Linked DNA regions of Mus musculus: region 1 is reported to be linked to region 2. Evidence: microRNA targets listed by miRTarBase, many of them from high-throughput screens and not tested one by one. Region 2 holds a microRNA gene; the other region holds the end of a gene's coding sequence.
The links. Region 2 holds the annotated microRNA mmu-miR-9-5p (UCUUUGGUUAUCUAGCUGUAUGA, at 2,384-2,406, opposite strand). A microRNA usually pairs through its seed, bases 2 to 8, with sites in the 3' UTR of a target mRNA and lowers its output. Matches are read on the target gene's strand: a 7mer-m8 pairs with bases 2 to 8, a 7mer-A1 pairs with bases 2 to 7 and ends in A, and an 8mer does both.

Region 1: miRTarBase lists Hes1 as a target of mmu-miR-9-5p. Seed matches in the 3' UTR shown: 7mer-A1 at 1,129-1,135.

Annotation. Positions count from the first base shown.
Region 1 is chr16:30,066,584-30,071,655 of GRCm38, forward strand. Hes1 (hes family bHLH transcription factor 1) reads left to right here. Exons shown (of 4, transcript NM_008235.2): 4 at 289-1,213. The coding sequence ends at 845. Gm32998 (a long non-coding RNA gene) reads right to left here and starts at 3,855. Exons shown (of 3, transcript XR_876001.2): 1 at 3,530-3,855; 2 at 2,304-3,347; 3 at 1,280-2,064.
Region 2 is chr7:79,502,613-79,507,684 of GRCm38, reverse strand. It overlaps Mir9-3 (microRNA 9-3), which reads right to left and starts at 2,421; the gene lies at 2,332-2,421. The region is part of intron 1 of Mir9-3hg (Mir9-3 host gene); the gene reads right to left. It overlaps Gm51285 (predicted gene, 51285), which reads left to right and starts at 2,349; the gene lies at 2,349-2,406.

The sequences.
Region 1 (5,072 bases), not on the chromosome of region 2:
GGAGGGGAAGTGGGGTTTGGAAGGCGCCTTGGGTGGCATTGTCCAAGGTCAGGTCGCGCGCGGGACTAGGGGTGGCAGATCTGGAGCTGAGATCGGTTTAGATGGAGGGAGTGTCCTGGCTTATGTCCCCAACCTAGGGAGAAGGAGCTGGCTGTTCTTAGCCTACCCAACCCTCCCAACCCCAGGTGGTTCCGGAGGCGCGCTGCGGGGACCTCCCAGGGCGGGAGGCTGTATGGCTCCGGGGCCAGGGCTTTTCGGTGACCCATCTTTTCTCCTTCTGGCCTGCAGCCGCGCTCAGCACAGACCCGAGCGTGTTGGGGAAATACCGCGCCGGCTTCAGCGAGTGCATGAACGAGGTGACCCGCTTCCTGTCCACGTGTGAGGGCGTTAACACCGAGGTGCGCACTCGGCTGCTGGGCCACCTGGCCAACTGCATGACCCAGATCAACGCCATGACCTACCCCGGGCAGGCGCACCCCGCCTTGCAGGCGCCGCCGCCGCCGCCCCCGTCAGGACCTGCCGGTCCCCAGCACGCGCCATTCGCGCCGCCGCCGCCGCCGCTTGTGCCCATCCCCGGGGGCGCGGCGCCCCCTCCCGGCAGCGCACCCTGCAAGTTGGGCAGCCAGGCTGGAGAGGCTGCCAAGGTTTTTGGCGGCTTCCAAGTGGTGCCGGCTCCTGACGGCCAATTTGCCTTTCTCATCCCCAACGGGGCCTTCGCTCACAGCGGCCCGGTCATCCCGGTCTACACCAGCAACAGTGGGACCTCGGTGGGTCCTAACGCAGTGTCACCTTCCAGTGGCTCCTCGCTCACTTCGGACTCCATGTGGAGACCGTGGCGGAACTGAGAGCCTCAGGCCACTGCTACCCGTAAAGTCCCTAGCCCACCTCTCTCTTCTGACGGACACTAAAAACGAACTTGGATTTTAGGAGAGACTTTTATAATTTGGTGGTTATTTTGTTGCTTTTTTTAATTCTAAAAAGTTACTTTTTGTAGAGAGCTGTATTAAGTGACTGACCATGCACTGCATTTGTATATATTTTATATGTTCATATTGGATTGCGCCTTTGTATTATAAAAGTTGAGATGACATTTCGTTTTTTACACGAGATTTCTTTTTTTATGTGATGCCAAAGATGTTTGAAAATGCTCTTAAAATATCTTCCTTTGGGGAAGTTTATTTGAGAAAATATAATAAAAGAGTGAAGGCTTTTATGTCTTAGAACTGATTATTTCAAAATTTGTAAAAAAAAAAAAGTGGTGGGGCTTGAAATTCATGTAGTTTGGCAATTCAGAAATAGGATGTATTTTTTAAAGTTTTAAACAGGAACCATCAAACCTTTCAGCAACACTCAATGATCTAAGAAGACCTAATTTATGAGAATTCATTTGATGGGGCTTTCCTGATAAACAGTCCTTATTTTTTTACCTTCCAAAGGGCGGCTCCCAACTCACTCCCTGTAGTAGCCACTGGCCTCCTAAAGTAAAAGCGCGCTCAAGCCACATTGCAGCCCTCCAGCATTGGGACCTTCATTTGTCTGTCCTTACTCAGGCGTAGCTAGGCATCCCCTGGCACCCGTATCACAAAGTTTGAAATGCCTCTCTTCACCCTCTTCAAGCAAGCTGAAAAGGTCAACAGATTCTCTCTGCCAGGGTACAACTAGTTAGACTCCCAAGTGGAGCCCGGGCCAGATGATTAACAGCAGACATATGTTTCTGATAAGTTTCTGCGCTTGACTTTAATGGAGAAAGCATGTGGGGGTTGCGCTGGCAGGCACACGGGCCGTTTTTCCCCTTTTAATACAAACAGCAAGCGACCCCTTCGCATGGTCATGCCCCATTTCCAGGCAAGATGTGGGCTCCAGATAGAAGCAAAAGGGTTGTCTCGGGTTTCAGCTCACACAACCCTCCTTAACAAGTCCTAACTCAAAGCGGACAGCTTTAAACTGTGCCAGGATCTGCAGGGAATTTCTTCCAAATCCCATCACAAAGGCTTGTCAGATTTTCTCAGATTTGGCCAGGTGTTTGACTGCATCCAGGTGTTGGGGAAATGAAAACCACGAGCCCTGCGAGACCAGACACATCAGCCGCGCTGTGGGTCTGGCCGGCGCGCCCTTCCTCCCCCACAGCCGGCCAGTCCTCCGCCCAGCCCCCGCTCCTCCCGCCCGCCTCTCAACCCCCTACCCCCTTTCCCTTACAGCGGCGGCTTCTGGGAGGAGAAGGATGAGGCGGGAGAGATCAATCTTTGAAGCTTTCCTAACAAAGATAAAGCCAACGATTTTCTGTCTTGTTTCAAAAGCCTTACCTCTCCCCCGCCTGGCTGTAGCCTTTCCCACAGGCCAGCGCCGAGTGCGGCTCTATCACAGGAATGATCTAGCAGACAGCAGCCGGTTCTTTCCAGGACCTTCAGCTTCGACCCCCGGAGAGAGAGGTTTAAAAGATTGTTTTGTTTTGTTTTGTTTAATTGGCTCCTATTTGCCTTATTTTCTGCCCAAGAAAGGTATTCAACGCATACTTTGTCATTCCATTTTTTCCTGGTTTTCCTTTTTGTTTATACATAAACATAGTAACAATTACTCCATTAAGACACATCCCAAATTTAGATATTAAAGTCCTCTGTTTCCACCAAGAATTCCTAGCTTCTGTAGTAGAAATAATCAAGACATCAGGAACTCAATTTTATAAAAGTAATTCCTTTTACATCTATGGAGGAGGGGGCTACAAGGGAAATTAATTTCTTCATGCATCTTTATTAATGTCACCAAAAGTGTCACGCAGCAGCTTCAGGAAGAAGTGAGAGGAAAAGAAACCATTTGTTCTTTTTGAAAAGGAGTGCCCCCCCCCGTAATTTGGATTTACATTATTAAATGAAGCCTGTTCAAGTATAATATGGAGTAGAAGAAAGCCTATATCCCCGTTGGGAGCTTTTACATTGTTCTATACCACTGAACTTATGGCAGGCACCACCTTGGATAAGTCATTTCCCTTCTCTAGGATAGGTCCAAGTTCATAAACGCTATAGATTTATTTCTTAGACACTGCTGCCTCCTGTATCCCTGCTGTTTCTTAAATCAGTAGCTGGGGGTTGGGGAGATGAAGCATTCCAGTTTATTCTGGCATCCCTACAGATCCTCTGGGCCTGGCCTAATTATACCACCTCAGGGCACACCCAGCTGCCTTGCCCCTCTAACCAGATCCGGATGAGTAGATCTCTCCTGTGATAAGACACAGCTCCAAACTCTGTCCTTGAGGCCAGAGACCTCGAGGGCCTCTCCTTGAAGGTCCTTGGAGCCTCTCTGCTCTCCGGAGGTTCTGGCAGCAATCTACAGAGGTAGATAGAGGTGAGGGCCTGATTCTGGGTGAGCAACTGAGGCTCGCCCCTTCCTCGGGGTCTCATCCTGACCCCTCCCACGCGCTTCTGCAGTGGGGACCCAGAGGTTTAACCAGACCCCCACATCGTCACGGGGAACCTGTCATTAAAGTCAATTAACTTTCCCCACACCCTTTGGCCGGTAACAACCCGCCGCTCACTTCCTCCGGGCTTCTAAGTGCAACCAGATGGGCGGGCGAGCTGCCCCCGCCGCGCGCCCGCCGGGGTGGCTCGGGGTTCCTGGGAGGCCTCGGGGACCGCGGCCGGGCGGGAGCGGCCCAGGGCAGCCACACCGGGCCGGCCCCGGCGGCCCTGCGGCCAAGGTGGCTCGCCCAGCAGGCCCGGCTGCTTTCTGGCAGGAAATGAATAGCTCCCAGATGAGCTCAGGCAACCTGAGAGGTCGTGAGAACGGCGCGAACCCCCGCCTGTGCAGCCGGCAGCCTGCCAGGCCGCGGGGAGGGCGGGCGGCGGCGGCGGGAGGCCCGGCGGGCGGCGGCGGGGGCGGCGAGGGGCGGGAGCCGCTGACACACGAGCCCGCGCCCGCTCCCGCTGACAGGCAGGCCGCCGCCCCCGCTTCCCCGCCCCGGGCCAGCGCCGCCCAGGCAGCAGGCCCCAGCCGCAGAGTCTCGGCCGCCCGACCCGCTGGGGGTGGGGCGGCCTGCCAGTGTTTTTCCAGTTCTCCCGGTAGCTCGGGGCAGCGTTTAGAAGCCGCGGAGCTGGGCGGGGGCCAGGGTCGGGGCACCGGAGGCCTGCAGGGCCCTGCCAGGAGTCAGGCCAGCGGGACAGGAGAAGGCAGGCAGGGACCACCTCGGACATCCCCCACCCCAAATGCCTTGCACCGGACAAGGATGCTGGGGACCCTAAGAGAGGGGAGCCTCGTTTCTAAGCACCTTGAGCACCTACTAAGCTCCCGGCAGCCTGCAGCTGGCGCTAAAATGACAACTTTGGTGGCAATGCAGTCCTGTTTAGCCACCGAGACAGCCCAGCTTGTGACTAATCCCACGCGTGATGTATTAGGTGCCAGGACTTAAGTTTAAACAGAGGGCGCCCAGACGGATGAGTTCCTGCTGAGGAAGAAACCAGGGAAGTTTTTCCCTTCAAGCAGGGAGGAGAAAAAGTCAACACAAAGGACAAACAGGCTCTAGGTGTCCCCTAGTGTCCTGCTGTTTTCTGGCACAGGTTCGACTGGAACTGGAGACCAAAGCCGCCTGCCTGGACCACAGGGATAGCCGGCTGTCCTCATTTCTCTAATAGAACGGTTTACCTTTAAAAATAAAAAAAAAAAGTCAGGAGCAAGGTGTGGTGGCAATCCCCCCAGGCGCTTGGGAGGTGGAGAACTAGTAGGAAGTGAAGGAACAAGGTCAATTTTGTGTTAGTTAGGCTAGCCTGGGCTACCTGACACTGTCTGAAAACAACAGAAATAAGTTAGGATTTGAAGGCGGGCAGTGGTGGCACATGCCTTTAATCCCAGTACTTGGGAGACAGAGGCAGGCGGATTTCTGAGTTCGAGGGCAGCCTGGTCTACAGAGTGAGTTCCAGGACAGCCAGGGCTATACAGAGAAACCCTGTCTCGAAAAACCAAAAATAAATAAAAATAAAAATACTTAGGATTTGGTTGTCAAAGAGAACAGAGACAGTTAAAATGTAGATGGAGAAGTTGTAGTTTTACTCTTTAAAAAAAAAAACTAATGTTTTACTATCGTT
Region 2 (5,072 bases):
GACCACCTTGGTGTAGGAAGGACTGGCTCTTACAAAAATAGCAAAGGAGAGGGGCCAGGGAAGAGAAGGCTCTGAGTACCGGGGCAGGCTCTGGGGAAGCCCCAGCCCATCCGTGAGACGTGGAGGCAGGGAGTGCTGGGCAAGCAGGCTGAGAGAGCTGCTCTGCTTTCCTCAGAAATGAGGTCACCACCAGCACACAGGCTCCCAGGTGCACCAGGAAGGGGGAGCAAGCCCAGTAGATGCAGTTGGGGGGAGGGAGGCTCCTGGGTCCTCAAACACGCGAGTGACCCTTCACAGGCCTAAGAAACGGGAAGGAAAAGATGAAAGGACCTCGAACCCCTTCCTTCCACCCAATGAGTCCCTGAGAAGGAGGCACAGAGACAGCTGCTTTCCTGCCACCGCGTTTAATTTTGTCTAACATTCCAAGGCAATGCAGTGAAAAACTCTCCATCTACCGTATGGAAGCCACACCTTGCCCCTCCCCAGACCCAGGAGGTTCTCCTTTGTATCACTGAATTTATTTTTACTTTTACACAAGTCACCTTTTTGTTGTTAAGATAATTTTGCTAAGCAAAGGGTGTGGGGGGGGGGGAGGAACGGCTGGTAGGCACAAAGATGGAAAAAGATTTCTATTATCACAAGGGGGCTGGGCAGGTTCTGGATAGAGGCTGAGAGACCAATCTTATAAATAACTAAGGCAAGAGGCTCTTGGGATTGAACTGGGCCAAGATGGAGGTAAGGTGACCTAGGTAGTGCCCACCTCTGCACTTCTGCGCTGTGTGTGCTACTCCCTAAGGAGTAGGCCCTCACCCCCCAGATCTGCTTCCTTAATATGTTCAAGGAAAAGAAAGCGGGTCAAGTCAGGATGGTAGCACTAATCCTTCCCAGTCAATCTGCTAAAGCATGTATACACTGATATGTGCCTTAAAGAACCCCAAAAGACCCCAAGCCTTAAGGTATGTGAACTGACTTTGGATCCTTTCTTCCCTACACTTGATAGGGTCCATAGCTGGGTCTACATCCACCACGCGGGAGCCCTAATGGTTTCCTAAGTTGCAGGGGGCCCCAAACTTCAAGATAAGGAAAGAGTAAAGGGAGTGGCAGGAAGGAGAGGGACCTGAAGGCAGAGAAACCTCAAAGGGACCTTCCGCTCCTTGTGGGGCTAAGAACCACGGACACAGAACATTGGCACGCCCCACTCGCAGCGCCCAGCTAAGAGGGACCTGGAGCTTGAGTGGCCGGTGTGCAGCATTGGGTTGCCATGGGAACGGAATTCAGATTTTTTCCCCCAATTGCTTTTTTATTTGCTAGACATTGTAATACATCTTATGTTGCCATTTATTGGGGCGGGAAGGAGAGGAGCTCCAGAGAGCCTGGCTTCCCCCTTAACCAGTTGGGGAAGTTGGGGAGGCTCCGGCCCCAGCCGTCCGACCAGAACTATAGAGGTTTAGAGGATCTGGGCTACGTCTCTCCCGCCCAGCAGCCTGCTCTTGGTTTGTATGCAGGGCAGGGCCGGTCGGTCGGGGCGGGAGGCCCCCCGCCTAGGCCCCTTGCCATTGAGTACACTCCCCGCCAGTTCTGCTCCGCTTCACGCTGCACACAGACCCCCCAACTGCACACAAAGGCAGCTGCCAGAGCCGGTGAAAAGTGATCAAATTATCAAGAACTTGACCTCACCGAGGGGCGAAGCTCCAGCAACCCCCCAGCCGTATGCTAATGGTGCTCAGGGGCTGACTCGTCGAATAATTCGATAAAGGCTGCATTGTTAGCGGCAGGGCAGCCCCCTGCCCACCCTTTTACTCCCCCTACACACTGCCTACCGGTCTCTCTCTCTCTCTCCTCTCTCTCTCTCTCTCTCTCTCTCTCTCTCTCTCTCTCTCTCTCTCTCTCTCTCCCCCTTCCTCTCTCTCTCCCTTCCTCTCTCCCTTCCTCTCTCCGTTCTCTTTCTCATCGCATTTGCATCCCAAAATCCTAGTCTGCAGCTCAGGGCGTGGATTGTTCTAGCCTGATTTATGGGGTGAAGGCAAAGGCTGGCGCCTTCCCCGCCAGCGACCCCTCTGCAACCCCAGCCCGTTCCCTGCCCCCAACCCACTCCACTTCGGGGTTCCAGCCTCGGCGCTGGGAAATGGTGATGGGGGTGCAGGGACCGAGGAGGAGGTGAAGGGAATGCCTCCAGGACACGGCAAGTGTCCCCAGGAGAGCCGAGGTCGGATACCTGGTCCCGGCGTGGCCGCTCCGTCGAGCTGGAATCCCTGGGTGGCGTGGGCTTCTCTGGGCTCCTCTGGCTCCTGTGGCCAGGGCGGCCGGCCGGGCCATCGCACGCAGAAGTTGTGAGAGTCATTTCTACTTTCGGTTATCTAGCTTTATGACGGCTCTGTGGCACTCATACAGCTAGATAACCAAAGAGAGAAACGGGCCTCCCATTCGCCGGCACCGCTGCCGCGCTGTGGGCCCCACGTGCCGCCGCCGACCCGGCGCGGGGGCCTGAGCGGACTCCGCTCCCGCAGCCCCGGGCGCACGCGGAGAGCCAGAGGGGACCGACAGACACACAGACACACGGACTCCCGCCACCCGGATCGCCCAGCTCCCTTCCTCCCTCGCCCTCGCGATTTCTCCATCCCCAGTTCCCCGTCCAGTGCGTGCGCGGCCCGCTTCGACGCCGTCCCGGGGCGCACTCGGGTAACCGGCGCTCTGCGCTTGGGCAGCCTCGGGCGCCCTGGCGGCCCCCAGCGCACTGGACCATCAGCCCTCCTCTCGCAGGCTAATCGCCCCGCGGGGAAGTGACGTCAGTCGGGGGATCGGCCTATCACGGGCTTCCATTCAAATCCCAGCCCCCTTCCCGCGCTCGGCACCACCCAGCCTTACAATGGCCTCGGCGTTCACGGCTTCTGCGCCGCGAGGACAGGGGAGCGCCTCTTCTGCCCTCAGAAGCCTTAGGCCTGCTTGCTTGGATGCACACAGTCTGGCCTTTCTCTCAAACCTCTCTGACCTCCCAGCAACGTCTTAGGTGCCTGGCAGCCACCGCAGACCACCAGAGTTAGAGTTTGAGGGAAGAGGTTTAAGGTCGAGGTCTCTCCAAGGCAACCAAGTGAGCGCAGGAGAGGCTGCGAACCGGTCACTTTATCCTTAAGGTCTCTCTTCCTTTTTTTTCTTGCCCAGCACTGTACAGACACCGCGGTAGAGACTGGGGATTAAGGGAAGGAGTGGGTGTCTAGATCAATGTATCCCATATATATTGCCTGACTTGTAGGGATTCCCATGGCATGCTTCGCTCAAACCAGGTCCTAAATGTCGGCACCAGATTGTTAGCCCTTTCCCTCTGACCATTCCTAGTACAGCCAAGGATATGTAATCAATTGTGCCCCTGCGCCTTAAAGATATCCAAGGCCGTAATTGGGCTCCTATTCACCTCCCATAAAAATAATCAGCTCCTGCCATCTTTCTGCTCACAGCACACCCTAGCCCACTTACTCCAAGTGACTTTACAGGGCAAAAGAATTGACATTTTGAGGTTTCACAGTAGAATTGAGCCTGGCCACCAAACTGAAGTCCCGTCTCAGTCTCCTAAACGTGGTGGTTTAGAGGTTGCTCACCTGAAACCCATCCTGTCTTCCTTGCTCCTGTACACCCCTCCCACTATGAGCCCTGATTCACCCCCTTCACCCATTCCTGGGAGGCAAAGGATTAAATATGAAAAATTCGATATCTCCTTCCCCCCCCCCCAGTCATCCCTAGAAAGATCTTAAATCCAAGATCTAGAGATTGACTTAACAATAGAGTGGGGGTGGGGGGTAGCGGGTTCCAGGATTCCAGCAGTGACTATGAGGGAGTCCCAAAGACTCTCTGTGCTAAGGCATCCCCAAAGCAGCCCAGATTTGGTGGGGGTACTCATTCAGATCTGTTTTGGTGAGGCGGGGGGGGGGGCACCCCTTACACACTCTCCATCAGCAAATCCCATAAGGCTGGGTTCAAAGAATAGGCCCAAAGTGGGTGATTTGGAAGGGATCAGGGAATTTTTCTAAAGGTATCTAAAGCAGTCTCCCTTAAATGACACATCTGGATTTTTTTTGTTTAATACCAGGCTTTGGCACCACACCTCTGTACCCCGTGCTTGTTTTAGATTCGTCCTATTTTTTATCTTGACCCCAAATCCAAGGTGGGCTGCATCCCCACTGCCATCCCTGTCAGCCAGTGAGCAAGCCAGCTAGCAGTTACACACCTCTTTCCAAATGCCACCTCACAGACAAATCCTTGTCTCAGAAAAAGGACACAGGCTAGACTGAAAAGCATCAGAGAAACAGAGGGGCCGACCTACCGACAGCAAGGCCCAGGAAGGAACCTCGAATTTGGGCCTGCCTGGTTAATTCTAAAGGATTTTTCATAATTAGGAGGTGTCCCTTTCTTCTCCTCCTACAGCCTCTGGAATCTACACCCTCTTCCATTTAGCTGTGTGTCTGTCAGTGTGGGCGGCCTCCTGCGCTCTAGTCCTTCTGGGCCACCCTGAGCTTGGATGGGTGGAACTGAAGAGGCAGAGGGAACTGTGCAAGCACGATTCACCTGAAAGAGGGGGAGGGAGAAGAAAGAGGGGGAGTGGGGAGCAGGAGAGAGGGGAAAGAGAGAAGGAGCGTTCTCAGAGTGTGATTTAAGCAGGACGCTGCACAAAATGGCTCCTCGGCTGTGAGGTTCATGGTTATAGCACGCTGGAGCCCTGGCCTGAGAGCCTAGGGCTGGTTAGGAGTCTGGGAGAAAGACTAAAAAGCTTGATTTTGCTTTCTGTTCAGGTAAGGCAGGTTAGTGCCACCAAAGCCACATTTCTGTTGTCCTTTAGGAAACCATGTCCCTTGCCAAAGCAGGTGAGGCCAGCCAGGCAGAGGTTCCTACACCATGCTGGAGTGGGCTCTGTCTCCAGTGTCCGGGTGCATGAAGGTGTTATCAGCTCTCTCTCAGGAAGGAGGCCACAGTGAGTGTGGGCCTTGGGTCATCCATTGCTTGCCCTTTGGAGGATGTTCTGGTGGGACAGGGCAGTAGGTAGTCTCCTTGAGCTAGCAGCCACACCCATGTACAGGATGGGA